Elephas maximus indicus: one gene and its partner. The protein of the gene in region 1 interacts with the protein of each later gene in a biochemical or structural test. Links are inferred from orthologs where the notes say so. Each region holds a gene or a part of one and is shown in the gene's direction. Other genes may lie near its edges. The genes, in order: NUB1 and UBD.

The links.
Region 2: the proteins of NUB1 (region 1) and UBD form a complex in vitro, tested with the Homo sapiens proteins (6 studies listed by BioGRID, with this or other methods). The link is inferred for Elephas maximus indicus from reciprocal best matches to the Homo sapiens genes NUB1 and UBD.

Annotation. Positions count from the first base shown.
Region 1 is NC_064838.1:11,786,146-11,795,720, reverse strand, and holds the start of NUB1 (NEDD8 ultimate buster 1), read left to right. Parts: upstream 1-4,950; 5' UTR 4,951-4,965; coding exon 4,966-5,162; intron 5,163-6,122; coding exon 6,123-6,240; intron 6,241-8,269; coding exon 8,270-8,437; intron 8,438-9,575. UniProt on the Homo sapiens protein: Specific down-regulator of the NEDD8 conjugation system. Recruits NEDD8, UBD, and their conjugates to the proteasome for degradation. Isoform 1 promotes the degradation of NEDD8 more efficiently than isoform 2.
Region 2 is NC_064819.1:89,213,644-89,223,218, reverse strand, and holds the start of UBD (ubiquitin D), read left to right. Parts: upstream 1-5,376; 5' UTR 5,377-5,423; coding exon 5,424-5,450; intron 5,451-8,225; coding exon 8,226-8,696; 3' UTR 8,697-9,575. UniProt on the Homo sapiens protein: Ubiquitin-like protein modifier which can be covalently attached to target proteins and subsequently leads to their degradation by the 26S proteasome, in a NUB1-dependent manner.

The DNA of each region.
Region 1 (9,575 bases):
AGAAAATCTTGAAATAAAATATCTAATTTAAAAAATTTTTATTTTGTTGTTAATTAAAAAAAAAAAAAACCCGCTGCCGTCGAGTTAATACACACAGCAAAACATACACCAATTCAACTGTTCCTACATGTCCAATTGGATGACGTTGGTTACATTCTTCTGTGCCGCCTTTCTCACCCTCCTTTTCTGAGTTGTTCATCCCTCATTCACATAAACTGACTGCTCCCTAAGATTCCAATCTAATCTTTCAAGTTGCTGCTGTCACTTGATCCCATATAGATAGCTCTTAAGAGAGCATAATGCTAAAGGCAGGCGTATTTTACTAGTTAAGGTAAACTTTTTTTATTATCTGGTTTTAAGAAGAGTTCAGTGAATACGTTTGGTTTAGAGTATCCCAGGGCGATAGTTTCAGGGGGTCATCTAGCCCAGTGGGGCTTCAAAAAGTCTGGAGTCCATGAAAATTGGAAATTCTGTTCTGCATCTTTCCCCTTTTGATCAGGATTCATCTACAGACTCTTACCGTCCAGTCCTTCTGGTCTCATGGCAAAGGAGGCAATCCTTCATGGAAGCAATTAGCCACACATTCCATATCCTCCTCCTATCCCTGACCCTCTTTCTTCCTCTGTTGCTCCAGGTGAATAGAAACCAATTGCTGTGCCTTGGATGGATACTTGCAAGCTTTTAAGTCCCCGGGTACTATGCAACACGTAAGAGGTAGCACAGAAGCACTAAACACACTATTAGGCCCATTAACTGTAAAATACCTATTTTTAATTAAAAAAATTATTCCATACTATATAGAGTCCTTTACATGAACAAAATGATCCTCTTGTATATTAAAAAAATTTAACACAGACAAGATTAAAGTTAGAAACATAAAACATCAAACATCAAACTATAATTTTATAGAAACAAAATATAGAATATTAATAGAAAGTACATGATAATGGAAATATAGGAGAATATTTTAATAATCTTGGGGTAGCATAGGCTTTTGTAACCAAAATGCAAAAACCAGAAGCCACAACGGAGAAGACTGGTAGTGTTCACTATGTAAACTCCAGCACGGTGAAACACATCAACAAAGGTAAATGATAGGAAACGCGTAGCTGTGAGTAAAAGGAAAACGAATGCAAATAGCCAAAACAAAACAAACATGGAGAGGTGGTCAGCTTCACTAATGATAAGGAAAAGGTAATTCAAATTAATGGAATGTCATTTTTCCTTCCCATCAGATAGGTAAAAATTTTGATAGTTCTTTGATTGGGAAAAAGTTCAATAATGTCCAGTTGTGATGAAGTTGTAGGGAGATGGGCTCTTTGTACACAGTGTATGGGTCGTAAATCCGTACAGCTTTTTGGGAAGCAATTTGGCAGTAGTTTTTCCATTTCTGGGAATCTATTCTGAGAAATACCTGTACTTGCAATGATACATGCGTATCTTTACAGCATTGTTTGTAATAGCTAATAATTACGAATAGACTGTTAATCAACAGAGACATAACTAAATACGTGTTATGCTATTCATTTATTAGAATCAGGAAAATCTATACGTAGTGACATACAAAGATGTAAAGCAGACTATGTAATTAAATGAGAAAAAAAGGTGGCGGAACAATGTGTATAAAATTCCACTTATGTACCAAGGCCAATGTGTGCTTTCTGATGGAGGGGACAAGGGATGGTAGGGTCAGGGAGCAGTGTGGGTTTATGCTCCCATAGGGTAACTCTTCCCTCTGTGGGTCTCTTTTTAGGGTGAGAAGTGGCCTCATCAGTGGATGAATTCAGGGGCTTCCTGGCTCCAGTCAGCCTGCATTTGGGGTGCCAGATATTTACAGGAGCTGTCTGGGAAGATCAGCTGCCCAGCACCTGTGGTCTTGGGGCCTGTGGGAGAAACTGGGAGCTGTGGGTGCGGAGCGCTTTGGAAGCAGGCAGCTCTCAGCAGACACCGTCGCTAATCACGGCGATGGGTAGGTAGGTAGGGCGTTTAGCCTGGCAAACGCTGGGGCGGCCAGTTGGGGGGAAGCTCTTAATCCCACCCTGAGGGCGCACGGGCCGTGGGGTCCCGGCCCCACTCCGGGGGAGACGGCTCTCCTTGCGGCGTACCCCGTTCTCTCCTAAAGCTGTTGGAGAGGCCAGGCCCGGCGGCCCAGGCGGCAGGCCCAGGCCCAGGCCCGAGCTCCGCCCCCCGCCTCGGCGGCCTTCCGGACGGCGCGCGGGCGGCGCGGCGGGGCCGGTCTCACCCGGAATGAAAACGAACGGCCGGGCCGCATCCGGGCACTCGGCGGGCGGCGGGCGCGGCGGTGGCGCAGGTGAGGGCGGCGGGCAGGCGGGCTCCCGGCCCCGCGTCCCCGAGCCTCGCCGGCTGTGGCGGCGGCGGCGGGCCGGCCGGGTCTGGGCGGGATGGGGCGGCGGCGGGGGCATTAAAAGAAATTCAGTTGTGTTGCCTTTTGGAGAAAGAGAAATGAGTGTATTTGCGCGGCGTGTGTGCGTGTCGCGGGCGAGGGACGTGGCGGTCCGCTTCGTGAGGCTCGCAGCCTGGAAACCCTGCGGGGCAGCTCGGCTCTGGCCCTCGGGGACCTAGGACTCGGAGCCGACTCCGCCGCGACGGGTTTGGGGTTTTTTGGTTTTATGGAACGAGACAAGCAGAAAGCTTGAATCGTAGCGGTATTATTCCAGATATGACTTTTGGGATTTATTTGCAATCAAAGCCAGAGATTCTTGGCTGTTTAATGAATAAATAGTGAATTTTTTCGAACCTTGACCATCTGAGTCTGTATTTCTCCTTCCTTTTCTGTTCTTTTCCAGTACAATTATCTTTCAGGACTCCTTTTAAAAGGTAAGAAGAAAATTGGATACAATTGAAAAGCTTTGGATAAAGGTAGCCTCGATCAGTTCCTAGGAAAGTGGAAGAAACTTTCAAAGGAGTGGTTGAAACGTTTCACTTTCACTTCGGGGCAGTTAATGTGTCAGCTTTTTTGGTTGAATTTTGTACGCAGGCCTGAAACCGGCTTTCTCGGTTATCCACTTAACGTGGAAAACCGACCTATTAAACTGTGTTCCTTTTTCGTTTATTTAAAATTCGTGTCGTGGCTCTCTCTGTTATCTGTAACTGAGGTTTTGTAAGTTTCAGAGAGTGGAGTAATTTTTTTACAAAGGTCTCGCGCAGCGTAGACCCTGAGTTGTTGCTTTGCGCCGCGTGTGTGGACCAGCTGGGTTTGTGAAGCCCGTTTGCCCTCTGGCCAGGTGGTGGCCTGGATGGGGTCTGGGAGGGCTGTGCGTTCACCTTCACATGGCCTGGCTCCACGGAGAAGCCCATGAGGTTATTCCCCTCACTGGGGTTGCTGTGATATTTTATTCAGAATCTGAAGATTTAGGGGTCAGGAGTATAACTGTGTAGTGGTCGAGGGGTTTGCACTTGACAAGGTGAGGTGCCTAAGTACTGCTGGGCTTTTCTGTGCGAAAAGGTGTGTCAGTGCTTGAAAACCTGGGGTTCTTTCATGGGTCATACAGGATGTACACACCTTCCTTGGCTGTGTTTATTCCTTCTTCCCTTTGTGCCTTCCTATCCTGATGACCGTATTTCTCACCCCCAAACTGACATAAAATAGGTTTTGATTTTCTTTAAAAAAAAATTTTGTTTATTACATACGTTTAAGTTACTAGACCTGATTTAAAAATCAGGTGAATTGGGTTTTGAGGGTGTGGAATAGTGACCTTCAATGGAAAAAAGAAAGTTACTTATAATGAAAGAAAAAAAAATCATTTTATTGTAATAACATAGATGACAAAAAGTTTCCCATTTTAACCATTCTTAAATGTCCATTTCGGTGACATTCATTACATTCACCATGTTGTGCAGCCATCATCAATGTATTTCCGAAAGTTTTCATCGCCACAAACTGAAACTCAGTGCCCCTTAGGCAATAACCCCATTCTCTCTTCCTCTCAGCCAGGAGCTAGTAACTTTTCACTTTTCTTACTGCTTGTCTGATCTTGAAACCCGTTGCGTCAAGTCGATTGCAACTCATAGTGAATCTATAGGACAGGGTAGAACTGCCCCATGGGGTTTCCAAGGAGCAGCTGGTGGATTTGAACTGGCAACCTTTTGATCAGTAGCTGTATCTCTTAACCACTGTGCCACGGGACACGCTTGTCAGATGTCTCCTCATTAGCAGCCTCACCCACACCACTGAATGGCTGCTTTAGAGTGAGATGAATGGACACTTCCACTGTGGGCTGTGGCTTTTCAGGAGAGTGGCATTACCAACAGAGAACAGAAAAGCAGCAGGCGGTTGCCTTTCAAAATGCAGAGTCCAGTATCGTAGGCAGAGGTTCCAGAGCTGCTTATGACTCTGCCTAATGCTGTGACCTTGGCCAAGTCATTTTCCAAACCTAGGACCTCAGTTTTCTTGGCTGTAAAATGATGACCCAAAAAGTGTTGTAACTGAATAGCTTATGTGTTAGTGTGCTGTTACCACAAAATATTATGAAAAATTTTGCTAGTGTTATAAAACTTTTTTAATTAAAAAATTCAGTATAGAGAATATTTACTGTTGGTAGTTCACGGTTCAAGATAGCTTTTCTTTAACTACCAGAGTGGTTGACCTATTGTTTTGTATTAAATTATAAAAGAATGTACAAGCTCTGTGTTGATTTGCTTATAAAAGTTCATTGTCACAAGTCATTGTATGATATAATGCTTAATAGTTAAGTTTCATTTTTCTCCTAGGAGAATAATATATTAAGAAATAGAAAAGTGTAGTAAACCTTGCTGCATATTAGTAATTTTGAAATAGTACATCTGTGTGTGTGTTTGTATTTTTTATAATTTTTATTGTGCTTTAAGTGAAAGTTTACAAATCAAGTCAGTCTCTCACCTAAAAACGTATATACACCTTGCTACACCCTCGCAATTACTCTCCCCCTAATGAGACAGCCCGCTCTCTCCCTCCACTCTCTTTTCATGTCCATTTCTCTAGCTTCTAACCGCCTCCACCCTCTCATCTCCCCTCCAGGCAGGAGATGCCAACATAGTCCCAAGTGCCCACCTGATCCAAGAAGCTCAGTCCTCACCAGCATCCCTCTCCAACCCATTGTCCAGTCCAATCCATGTCTGAAGAGTTGGCTTCGGGAATGGTTCCTGTCCTGGGCCAACAGAAGGTCTGGGGGCCATGACCACCGGGGTCCTTCTAGTCTCAGTCAGAGCATTAAGTCTGGTCTTTTTATGAGAATTTGGGGTCTGCATCCCACTGCTCTCCTGCTCCCTCAGGGGTTCTCTGATGTGTTCTCTGTCAGGGCAGTCATCGGTTGTAGCCGGGCACCATCTAGTTCTTCTGGTCTCAGGCTGATGTAGTCTTTGGTTCATGTGGCCCTTTTTGTCTCTTGGGCTCGTAATTACCTTGCGTCCTTGGTGTTCTTCATTCTCCTTTGATCCAGGTGGGTTGAGACCAATTGATGCATCTTAGATGGCTGCTTGCTAATGTTTAAGACTGCAGACGCCACTCTTTAAAGTGGGATGCAGAATGTTCTCAATAGATTTTATTATGCCAGTTGACTTAGATGTCCCCTGAATTCATGGTCCCCAAACCCCTGCCCCTGCTATACTGGCCTTCGAAGCATTCAGTTTATTCAGGAAATTTTTTGCTTTTGGTTCAGTCCAGTTGTGCTGACCTCCTCTGTATTGTGTGTTGTCTTTCCCTTCACCTAAAGTAGTTCTTATCTACCACATGTTTATATTTTTAAAGAGAAGTTTGGGGCTGGTTAAAACCTTAGTAATTTAGATTAAAGGAGGCCCTGGTGGTGCAGCAGCAAAGCGCTTGGCTGTTAACTGAAGAACTGAAAGTTCAAATCCGGCAGCTGCTCCAGGGGAGAAAGATGTGGCGGTCTGCTTCCATAAAGACTACAGCCTTGGAGACCCTATAGGGCAGTTGTATTCTGTTCTGCAGGGCCACTGTGAGTCAGAATTGACTCAATGGTACTGGGTAATTGAGTTTAAACTGCAGAGGGAGGAATGGGAAGGACGTCTGCTTGTCTTACAAAACACCTCAACATATTAGGTCGGTTATAAAACAGTTTGAAATGTGCTGTGGAATTTTATTGTTATATTGTTTTGCTTTCAAGGATGGCACAAAAGAAATATCTTCAAGCAAAATTAACCCAGTTTTTAAGGGAAGACCGAATTCAACTTTGGAAACCTCCGTATACAAATGAAAATAAAGAAGTTGGCTTGGCATTGAAGGTATTTTTCTTCTAAGACATAAATAACTAGCAGTGTTATAAATCTCCTTGGTAAATCAGGTTCTGAAATCTCCGGAAATTGTCAGGCACAGCCATATAAACTTTTGGCATAACCAGAAGCATCAGTGACAAGCAAGTACCTACTTTGACTAGGAGTTTACAAGCTTATTTTTGTTTAATAAGATTTTGTTTAGATGACATTGTCATCTAATTTCTCAGGTGTGTTAATCTAGAAACTAATTTTGCCTGGACAGCTCAGCCGTTCCAGTGTAAGTTATTGGTTATGTTTTTAGGGTAATAGTATCTTGGTTGATTCTCAATTCTCCTTGCCGTCTTGGTCTGTAAAACGATTCTCCCCCCCTCACTTTTTTACACTATGGCTGTCAGTGTTCATTTTCCCAAAACATATTTTTCTAGAAGTTAGGCCTCAAATTTTCAATGGCGTCATCAGAGATGGCTTTATTTTACATGAGTGAAATTTCTAGAAGCTGACATTTCCCTGCTTTTCAAAGCAGGGAAGCAGTAATCATTTTTGATAGAACCCTGTTATATGAGAAAATCCTATCATGTACTCATCTGCTTTTTCAGTTGGAGAATCCTGAATATGAGGAGGGGGTTATCGTGAGGGCAGCAGAGTGGCCTGCACTGTGACACAGTGATGCACTCAGAAGATGACTTAGAGTTGTCTCTTCTGTCCCTGATAGGTCTCACTTTTAATTTTTGCAACCCACCGGTGACCTTGCTTCTGAATTTGCTTGTTATAATCTTGACTCAGAAACTAAGAAATTTAGATTTTCCAGAGAATTACAGGAAGTTAAAAAAAGTCTTAGGTGTTTTCTGGTGCTAAAAATAATATATACTCTTGGGTTTAAAAATGTATGTATATAATTAAAAATTTAAATAATACATTTAAAAAATAATTAAACATATCATCATTAGTGGTATATTGTTTCATGGTTTTCCTATGTGAATATTAAAATATATGTGTATTACAAAGGGGTTTATGTTATTTTTAAAATACAATACTCTCCTCCTGTTATGTAGCTTTATAGATATCACGAACATCCCTCCCTATTATAAGTCTTTGCTGCATAGTATCCTTATTAGAAATCTGGACAAAACCTGGGACTTGAGTGTCTTTCAGCTGTTACTGTTTTATGGAGTGTGATGCCTCTATGAGCCTTTAAACCCCAAATGCAAAGCTTCTTTGGGAGGGAACATAATGACTTCACTTTAAGTAATAACTGGTTCAGGTTCATTTTTGAGGCCCCTTAAATCTTCCAAATTCTTTTTCCCAAACCTAAAGTTCTCCCTGGCAAATGATTTCACAACCAGTACAAGTGACTCAGAATTTTAAGAGTGGTATTTAAATCTAACCGGACTTGTTCTCACTTTAGTTAGAACGTTTTCTCCATTTCTTCCCTTATTTTCCTTCAGTGGAGGTGAACAGTTAACTGTTTCTTTTTTTTTTAAAAAAAAATAATATTTTATTGTGTTTTCGGTGAAGGTTTACCCAGCAGTTTCGGTTTCCATTCAACAGTTTCTATACACACTGTTCAGTGACTTTGATGACGTTCGTCACAACGTGTGAACATTCTCAGTATTTCTGTTCTCCTGGTTCCCTGCTCCCTCACATTCTCATCTATGTTTTAAAGTACTTGTTGATTGTTTGGAGTTCACTATTTCTTAAAAATTTTTTTTTTATATGTATATATTTGTAGTCATCTTTTTTTTTTTTTAAGTCTTAGCCTGCTCTTCTTTTCCCCGGAATAATCCCAGTATTATTTTGACTTTTCCTGTTGGGCCTGTTTTTTTTTAGCTTTTATTTGTTTTCATTTTTCCCTGGATCATCTCTAAATTCTCCACACCTTGCATGAGGTCAACCTAAAGACTGGGTTTCACTACAACAGGGGTGACTGCCCCTCAGCAGAGCTTATTGCCTTCGAGTTCTGCATGTGCTGGTCTGTGTTTGGCTTTTCTTTTTTTGAGTTGGTTCTCTACCGATCTGCATTTTCTGATTTTTTTGATAGGACCTTGCTAAGAAATACTCTGACAAACTAGAATGTTGTGAAAATGAGGTAGAAAAAATAATAGAAGAAATACGGCAGAAAGCAATTGAACGTGGAACAGGAAATGAAAATTATAAAACAACAGGAATTGCTACAATCGAGGTATTTTTACCTCCAAGACTAAGAAAAGTAAGTAATTTCTCCAAATTTACGTATGTACGTCATTTAATGAAGTGATCGAATAAATCGTCATTTTTTAAAAAACTGCCATCCAAATTTATAATTCTTTTAAGTTATTTTACATGTTGAACATTGATTGACTTAAAAGTTACTTTTAGGAACTCTTAAACTAGGACGCTTACAAGGTAGATTTCTTCCTCTTGAGACCTCCACAATTTCGTGAAGCTATATTCACGTTCTCATCTTTTCTATAGTTCAAGGAAAAGCTTAGAAATAATGGGGAGTAAGGTCCTTCAGTGTTCTAAAGCTCTCGTGGTATAACACATCACAAAGGCATTCATCCTTTTTTCTATTCGGATGGAGGTCACAGGGGTAAGCTTAGTGCTCCAGCAGGGTTGAGGTACTGGGCAGGGCCCCTTTACGGCAGCGCCAGGTCTTCAGTAGTTCATGTCCAGAAATGTTACTGAGTCTGGGCACCAGAGTGGCTGGCATTTCAGGACCGATCACTGCTAATTATTCTTAAAAGAAATAAAAGTCTGTATGTCTCAGGGTCACCGCAGGAGTAGCATTTCTGCTGCAAGAGAAAGGAAAACTGTGTCCACACAAAAAACTGAAACAGAGATGTTCATAGCAGCATTAGTCACAACAGCCAAAAAGTGGAAACAACCCAAATGTCCCATCAGCTGATGAGTGGATAAATAAAACGTTAGATGTCTATATGGTGGAAAACTGGTAAGCAGTGAAAAAGAATGAAGCTCGGATTCGTGCTGTAACATTATGTTAAGTGAAAAAAGCCGGTCACAAAAGACCACATATTTATGATTTTGTATGAAAATATTCTGAAATTGGATTATGGTGATAGTTGTATAACCGTGAATGTTTAGAAACTGTTGAATCACACACTTCAAACAGGTGAACTTATGGTATGTAAATTAATGTCTCAATAAGCAGTTAAAAAATTCTAGGGGAAATAAAGAGCTTTATGAGAAAAAGAAAAGAATGTATCTCAGCCTGCCACTTTATGAATTGAAAGGTGATAAACTTAGAACTCTCCTTCGCTAGTGTCAAGTATTCGGGAAACCAAACTACCAATCAGAAGGCTGAGTAGATTTGGTTAGCCTCATAGGTGTTGCTAGTGATTCTAGGT
Region 2 (9,575 bases), on another chromosome or scaffold:
TAGGTTTTCACCTGTTTTGTTTGTTGCAGGTAAAAATCAATCTATTTTTACTGCTGATGCTATTCCCCAATTCAGTGATCTATCTCCCTATTACTGAAGGACATTTGGGTTGTTTTAATTTGGCATGTCGACTTTTAATTTTGACAGGTATACCCAAGTTGTCCTCCTTTGAGGGAGGGTGGTCCAATCATCAATAAATGAGAATTCCTAGTAGCTTTTTTTTTTTGGGTACCTTAGGCGAAAGCTTACAGAGCAGATTAGTTTCCCATTCGATAGTTTGTGCAAAAAGTGTTTCATGACCTTGGTTTCATTCCCCACAATGCGTCAGCACTCTCCCTGTTTCCACCCTGGGTTCCCTGTTTCTTTTAGTCCTGACTTTCTACCCCTTCCTCCCTTGTCATCTTTGCTTTTAGGCAGATATTGCCCTTTTGATCTCCTATAATTAATTGTTCTAAGGAGTACATTCCTCTTGGATGTTGTTGTTTACCTTATGTGCTTGTCTGTTGTTTGACTGGGAGGTGGTCTCTGGGAATGGCTTCAGTTCCAGGTCAAAAGGGTGTCTTAGGGTCACTGTCTCTGTCAGACCAGTAAGTAAAATTTGATTTTTTTTCTACAATTTTTCTCCTGCTCTTCCCAGGACCCTCTGTTGTGATCCCAGTCAGAGCAGTCCTAGTAGCTTTTTGACTGAGTTTGCTTGGCACTTCTGAAGCAATGTTGTAGATCTCAAAGTAGTTTCACAAACTCTTTCTGGACATTATTAAAGAGAAGGGGAAAGAGATTTCTGCCCCAGGGGAGCCTCAGTGGGTACAGTGATTAGTCCAAGACCACCTCCCACCAGCCAGGGGGTAGCTGAGCAGTTTGTTGATATCTAAGTCATTTGTTTTATTCCCTTAACCTAGGAAGATCTCCACAGTCTGATCTTTACCGTGGCTGGTTTTTGAATTTGTAAGAAAGACAAATGAAAAGAGATCTTTCTGCCTTTGAAAGAACTTATTATGATACAAGGAAAAATGAAAGTCAAGTTGCCATTGCAGTATGAAGCAAGGAGGCCAGGTTCTAAGAACAAATCCCTCCTGTGATCAGAAATGAGGTCATTCAGGGTATCTGGGGTAGCTTTTTCCCTGGCCTTGGACAGGAAGGAAATTTCGTATAGGAACAGAAGAGGGAGACAAGACAGGAGTACAGATTTGTTTTTCACATTCCTTGAAAAAGCACTGGTTTTCAGAAACCAGGTGCTATCTGGGTAGGGAATTCCCAGAATTAGTTTTTCCCAGGAGGGACCTTTGTCTTGCCCTCGCAGGCACCTTATGCTGAAAATCCCCAACTCCTGTGGGTGGCTTCTCTGTTGCCACTCCAGTGTATGGCCAATCAGGAACAGCATGATGCTGGTGAGTTTCCAGTGGAGATATCTATTCCTGATTTGTGAAGCTTGTAAGGGGAGGGAGGCTCACTTTAATTGACGAGAAGGGGTGACTGACCAACCTCTAAGACCCTGCCTGGGAATGGAGACCTCGGGACTTTAGTTTTTGCTTTGCCCTAACGGTCGAGGAGGTCCAGGGGAAGCCTATGGAACTTCGTGATGATGGGAGTTAGTGTTATCAGGCAGTCTTGAAATTTCACAGTTCTGGGAGAAGAGTTCTAGCTGACCTTTCCACCAGGCTTCCACCTTCCTTCAGGCTTTGACTCTTGTACTCTTGAGCTCTTGGCTCACCTCTGCCAAGTGGGGAAGGGTGGTGGTGCTCCAGGCAGATCCTACCATCCAGGTATATGCCTGCCCTCTCTTAGACTTTGAACCTCTTCTTGCTTTCATGCATCTCAAGACTCTCTGTAGCTCCCTGACTGCTTTTCTTTGCCTTCCTCAAATTTGTACATTTCCTGTAACAAGGTACGCATGTGCATGCACTTTTTCTTTTCACTGAAGCGACACAATATGATCATAACAAGACATGGACTATAATTATAGGTTTGCATCTTAACACTTGCTTACCAGCTGCTACTAATATGACTGTGGCGAGTTAGCATTTTGCTTATGTCAACAAGGACACTGATAATTATCTGGCTACACTACTGAGACAATAAATGATGTAACATTTAATAATATCTTGGGTTGTTGTGGAGCTGTGGTGGTGCAGTGGTTAAGTCCTCAGCTGCTAACTGAAAGGTTGGGGTTTGAACCCACCAGCCACTCCACAGGAAAAAGATGTGGCAGTCTCCTTCCATAAAGATTTACAGCCTTGGAAACCCCATGGGCAGTTCTACTTTGTCCTGTAGGGTTGCTATGAATTGGAATCGACTGGTCAGCAATGGATTTGGTTCGGGTGTTGGGTTGTTGTTGTTGTGTGCCCTCAAGTTGATTCCGACTCATAGCAACCCTACAGAACAGAGTAGAACTTCCCCATAGGGAGAGCAGATTGTCAGGTCTTTTCTCCTGTGGAGCTGCTGGTATGTTAGAACCCCTGACCTTTCAGTTAGCTGCCCAGTGCTTAACAATTATGCCACCAAAAAACAAAACCAAACTCAGTGCCATTGAGTCGATTCTGACTCATAGCGACACTATAGGACAGAGTAGAACTGCCCCATAGAGTTTCCAAGGAGCCCCTGGCAGATTTGAACTGCCGACCCTTTGGTTAGCAGCTGTAAAACTTAGCCACTACTCCCAGAACTCCTTAATATCTTGGTAGTCCCTGAAATATATATAGTATCCACTAAACATTTAGCACTAAATATATTTTTGTTGTTCACTTAATTATTCAATGATTTATCAATTCATTCATGCATTTAGTAAATATTAAGTGGTTCGAACTCACCCAGTTGCTCCAGGGGAGAAAGACCTGGCTGTCTACTTCCATAAAGATTACAGCCTAGAAAGCCCTGTGGGGCAGTTCTGCTCTGTCACTTGGGGTCATGATCAGTCAGAGTTGCCTACTTGGCACCCAACAACAATAACTTACTGTGTTAGACACCATGTGGAACAGTGTTGAGGATACAAGTTAATTAAGACATAATCCGGATCCACAAGATTTCTACTGTTTACTGGAGACGACAGGAAAGAAGAAGGAGAAACAGGTTCTGAGAGGCTTGCGCAGGGAGAATGGGAGGACAGAAGATGGGCACATAATCCAGAATAGGGAAGAAGAGAGTCAGAGAAGGCTTTCTGGAGGAGATGCTGCTTATACTGTGCATTCTTATAAATTCATGCTGTTGGAGGGAAAGGCCGGCCACGCAGAGGGAATGGTATGCTAAAAGGCCTGGGGGTGATAGAGAGCTTTGTGTGTTCAAGGATATGCAAGGAATTCAGGGAACAGTGCACAGAAGCTGCTAAACCTACAGGTCTGAAGCTCTGGTCTGTGCAAATGTAATTCCTGGGAAATGTCATTACTGAGCTCCTCCCCCTGGAGTTCTGGTTAAGTTTCCTTTCTGTTCCTGACAATGCAGACATTGACTCCAAGATGCAGACATAGGCTACTGAGGAGAGAAGGGCAAAGACAGGAAGGGTGTGAGAAGAGAATGGTTTAATTTTAATTAGACTTTATCCACTTACTCTCTCTCTTGCCTTCTGAGGAATAACATGAAAATCTAAGACGGTAATGGATGCAAATAAAGTCTGAAAAGTGAAAAGCAGTTCACACAAGTCTGGGCTTGTATAACTTTTCCTTTCCCCCTTTCCAGGCCCTTCCCCCATCTCTACCCTGTTGAAAGGCTTTCTCTTTTCCTGTCACCCTCAACCTGATCTGACATTTTCTGCCTAGCCACTGGTGATGTTTCAGAATTCCAAAATCCTATTGGACAATGGATGAAGGGGCATTGTTCTCTGCGGTGTAGCCGTCAAAGGCACAACCCTCAAGTGTTGGTTTCTAAACACACTTGGAACAATGGGAACTGGGTGAGATATCTGAAAGAAGAATAGCAAGGGCCAATAGTTTCCAGTCTGTTCCATTCTATGTGCTTAAAAAAGTATGTTCACCCCACAAAATACATTTAAGTAATAGTTTTTCTAATCTTATTAACTGATTATACAACAAGCATTAAAATAACATGGTACGTATAGTACTTTTTGAAATACTGGAATGAGCTCTTGGATCCCATTACTCTACATGGACACCTCTATAAATTCAAGTTCTCCAGGATGGAAACCCCTAGAATAAAATGGGGTCATCTGAGACCTATTAGTGAGTGAAGGTACAATAAATGGCCATTGACAGCATATCAAACAAAGATGATAACTTGGCATTGTTATAGACTTTGCAAAAAAAAAAAAATTGAAATGCTTTAAATAAATTCTTTCAAAAAAATTTGTTCCGTGGCAATGTCTTGAGAGTTTGGGAGAGGGCAATGATTACTTTGGAATGCTAGAAGAATCACAGTGGCAGAGTAAATTTCCTGAGAGCACAGAGCTAATGCATTTCTTTTTTGTCTCAACCCAAATGTCAAGATGAAGGGAGTGAGCAGTACCTTTAGGTTTTCTCTGAGATCACAGCAGTGGGGAGAGTCCTGGGGGAAAGGTGGGGAAATAGAGGCACTGTGGTGTGAGAATGGATGTGGATGATTCTGTTGGCTTGTGATTGGTATGTGAAAGGTGGGAGTCGGCATTTGATTTTTGGCTTTGAATTGTTTTCAAGTACTGAGCTTGGTTTGCAGATTCTGGGACATGTTAGGAAGTGTGCTGACTAGCTCAAGACCCAGTATTCCAAAGTTCTTTTTGTAAGGACATTTTATAAACAAAGTTTTTTGAGCCTGGAAGACACTTAAGAATCATCTCCAATCATCTCATCTTATGGATCAGGAAGCCAGTATCTAAGGAGATGAACAGACTTGGCCAAGATAATATACCAAGGTAACCTTGGGACTTGAACTCATGTATCCTCTCAGTCGAGGGTTATTTATCCTATGCCCTCTCAAAAAATGTCTCACTTTCTGTCAGCCCACTGTGAATAGGCTGCTCGCAAGACACATCACTCCATACCACCCCTGACTGTCCTCTCCTAGGCAGCCTTGCTCTCAGGAAAAGCCCTGACTCTGACTGATGGAGGAGTCATAAAAACATCAGAGGAGGACTAATGAGCATAAAAGGTCTTCATTGCCAGTGAGGGCTCAGGGCTGAGGGTTGCACAATCACAAATCAGGATTGGGAGTGAGGATGTAGGGGTGTTAATCAGGGAAAAAACAGGGCCAGAAAGGACCATCCCATGTTTTCAACAAAGAATGCAAATAGATTGGCTGAGGCGAGAAGAACCTGATCAGAAAGTATTCTTTGCTTATTAACTAACCACACCTCAGCAAAAGTGAAAGATTTCTGAGAACTTGCAAGAACAAAGGGCACAGGAAAGCTATCTGGGCAGGGGATTTCCAACTCCCTTGCTTGCATATAAGCTCCAGTTGAGGTCCCTTTTGTGTTTCCTGTTTCTGCTCTCTTGACTGCAGCGATGGCTCCCAATGCGTCCTGCCTCTGTGTAAGTTGGGATTTGATAAAGGAGGTGGAGAAAGGAAAGGTATTTCCAAGCTTTGGGGAGAAACTTCAGTAACTGGACTGAGGGTGGTACTTGGGAAGGCAGGGTGGCTGGGAAGGCATCTTGAAAAAAAGAGGATAGGATTGATATCTGCACAATGAGAGGAAGGGTCCTGTGTAGAGAAGCTGGTCCTTCAGATTCTGAGTTCTCCTTTGTGTCAGACCTTGGACTGGCCACTGTTAGGGATAAATGGTAGGGAGTGGGGGTGCTCAATGAAGCTGGCAAGATTTGAAATTATGGAAGTGTTTTCTTGAGCCCCTTCCTCTCTATCCCATTTGGCGGTCCAGGGCTCTTAAGCTTTCCTCTCCTCCCCAAAGGGCTTCACAAAACACATTTATCTTGAGTTGTTAATGACCTAATATATTACTTTATATGAGAATAGATGCATTATGAAGAGCATCTGGGATGCTTAACACAGAGGAGTGACATTTTAGTGAAAGAATGTCAAACAGTATTAGCAATGCCTAAGTTGGGAGGAGATTTAAAAAAAAAAATTTATCGTGCTTTAAGTGAAAGTTTACAAATAAAGTCAGTCTCTCAAACAAAAATTTATAAACACCTTGCTATATACTCCTAATTGCTCTCCCCCAATAAGACAGCCCACTCCTTCCCTCCACTCTCTCTTTTCATGTCCCTGCTGCCAACTTCTGGCCCCCTCTGCCCTCTCATCTCCCCTCCAGATAGGAGATGCCAACATAGCCTCAAGGGTCTACTTGATCCAAGGAGCTCATTCTTCACCAGCATCTTTTTCTATCCTATTGTCCAGTCCAATCCCTGTCTGAAGAGTTGGCTTTGGGAATGGTTCCTGTCTTGGGCTGACAGAAGGTCTGGGGGCCATGACCACTGGGGTCCTTCTAGTCTCAGTCAGATCATTAAGTCTGGTCTTTTTAAGAAAATTTGGGTTCTGCATCCCACAGCTCTCCTGCTCCCTCAGGGGTTATCTGTTGTGTTCCCTATCAGGGCAGTCATCAGTTGTAGCCGGGCACCATCTAGTTCTTTTGGTCTCAGGCTGACATAGTTATTGGTTTATGTGGCCCTTTCTGTCTCTTGGGCTCATAATTACCTTGGTGTTCTTCATTCTCCTTTGGTCCAGGTGGGTTGAGACTAATTGATGCACCTTAGATGGCTGCTTGCTAGTGTTTAAGACCCCAGACGCCACTCTCCAAAGTGGGATGCAGAATGTTTTCTTAATAGATTTTATTATGCCAATTGACTTAGACATCCCCTGAAACCAGGGTCCCCAGACCCCTACCCTGCTACGCTGGCCTTCGAAGCATTCGGTTTATTCAGGAAACTTCTTTGCTTTTGGTTTAGTCCAATTGTGCTGACCTCTTCTGTATTGTGTGTTATCTTTCCCTTCACCTAAAGTAGTTCTTACCTACTATCTAATTAGTGAGTACCCCTCTTCCTTCCTTCCTCCCTTCCCCTCTCTTAACCATCAAAAAATATTTTCTTCTCTGTTTAAACTATTTCTCGAGTTCTCATAGTAGTGGTTGTATACAATATTTGTCCTTTTGCAACTGACTAATTCACTCAGCATAATGCCTTCCAGATTCCTCCATGTTATGGAATGTTTCACAGATTCATCACTGTTCTTTACTGATGCATAGTGCTCCTTTGTGTGAATATACCATAATTTATTTATCCATTCATCCATTGATTGGACCTTGGTTGCTTCCATGTTTTTGCTATTGTAAACAGTGCTGCAATGAACATGGGTGTGCATATATCTGTTTGTATAAAGGCTCTTATTTCTCTAGGATACATTTCAAGGAGCGGGATTGCTGGATCATATGGTAGTTCTATTTCTAGCTTTTAAAGCAAGTGCCAAATCGATTTCCAAAGTGGTTTTACCATTTTACATTCCCACCAGCAGTGTATAAGTGTTCCAATCTCTCCGTAACCTCTCCAACATTTATTGTGTTTTTTGGATTAATGCCAGTCTTGTTCAAGTGAGATGGAATCTTATTGTAGTTTTGATTTGCATTTCTCTAACGGCTAATGATCGTGAACATTTGGGCAGAGATTTTTGAATGGGGTCTCAGGGAGGTCTTCAAAGGCTTTCAAGTGACAGCACAAGGGTGAACTTTCCATCTTTCAGAATTTGCCAGGTACTGAAGTAAGACTTGGATATATTTCCTACCTTCTGTGAATGAGGTCTGGTCTTATTAAAGAAGATCATATTCTACAATAGGCAGATACAAAAACACAGGAAACATAGATTACCAAGCCATTTTGAACACAGTGCCACCGTAATATATGAGTTGTCATTATAAATCAATGGACATTAAAAAGGAAACTAACAGTACAGAGATTATGCATCCTAACCAGGGTTTCCTTCTAGAGTAGTCAAGGGAGGCAGACCTGTGAGTATCCAGTGAGGCTGCCAAGTCTTGAAAACTGTCAGTAGGAGTTGATTTTAGAATATAGTGTACACATTTTGAAGCTTTGTAGTTGGATTTACTTGTTTTTAATTATATTTTAGGATGAAGAAGAGGTGTGGTTATAAAGTCATAAGACTTATTTCCTTCTTTGTATTTTAAACAAGCAGTTCCAAAAGAGATGTTCCAAGAAAGTGAAAGACACAGATTGGTGGAAAGTAGTGGGAGGACCTGACAGGCAGGGGAAGGGCTGGAGCAATTAAGGTGGGGGGACAGGGGTGTAAAGGGTGGCAGACATTTTAGGCAACTGTCTCTTGACTCTTATTGCCCTGCCCAGGTGAATGTCCATTCTGAGGAATGGAAATTGATGACCTTCACTGCCGACCAGGATGACAGAGTAAAGAAGATCAATGAACATGTCCGGTCCAAGACCAAGGTTCCCGTGCAGGACCAGATCCTTCTGCTGGGCTCGAAAACCCTACAGCCCCAGAGAACACTTTCGTCTTATGGCATTGACAAGGAGAAGACCATCCACCTCACTCTGAAGGTGGTGAAGCCCAGTGATGAGGAGCTGCCCATGGTTCTGGTGGAGTCAGGTGATGAAGGGCAGAGACATCTCCTTCAGGTGCGGCGGTCCAGCTCAGTGGCCCAGGTGAAAAAGATGATCGAGTTGAAGACTGCTATAACTCCTGAGACCCAGATTGTGACTTGCAATGGAAAGAAACTGGAAGATGGGAAGACTATGGCAGATTACGGCATCAGAAAGGGCAATTTGCTTTTCCTGACACACCACTGCATTGGGGGTTGACCACTCTAGGGATGGGGTGACATCAGGAGGAAAAGAGCTTACTTTCTTTTAGCTTTTACTCACTGAACGTATCTTTTGATGGTTTTCCAAAATTTTATAAAAGGGAATAAACAGAAAAAGATTCAGGATGAGGTGGGGAGGGAATATTTTTCCAACTCTGATTCTTTGATTCCAACACAATTAAGTGGCTGGATTATGTATGGTATCGCCGAGAAAAGAAAACGAATCACTAAGGCATACTAGAGACAGCGTTCAAAACCAGCTTACAATTGAATTCCTTCTTGGTTTCCTATGATTTATAGAAAAACTCTTATTTTCTTTCCTATCTAACAAGATATAGTAAGTTTTAGATTGGAATCTAGGTTTTGCTAATTTCTATGTTTCTGTGAATGTTTAGCCCAGTGCTTCACGTATAATATCACCCAGTGACTATTGAATCAAACTGAATTTCCACCCATAGAGAAGAGTGAAATAAATGATTCATTTTGAAGTGGATTAGTTACTCTGACACAGTCACAATTTAACTCATAGAGAATTTATAAATTTAATAAATTACTTTTTCTCTATTTAAGGGCATTTGGTATAAAATGAAACCTGGCACTGTGCCCCTACCTACCCTCTATGTCCCCCACAGATTTAAAATTGTTCTTCTTTCTGGGCATGGTAGTGGGCACAGAGATATTTTCCATGGGAATCTAGAGACGCCATGTCTCTAGTAGGGGCTCCTTGGGGGCAGATGTTCTTCAGGTGGGAATGGACTTTCTGAAAGGTGAGGGATTGTAGAGCAGTCTCTGTCCTGCCTGCCTTAATGTCTAGCAAGTCTTCTGCAGGTTGGGGCTATCAGTTTGGTGGAGAGAGATAAGGCGTTGGCCCCTGGGC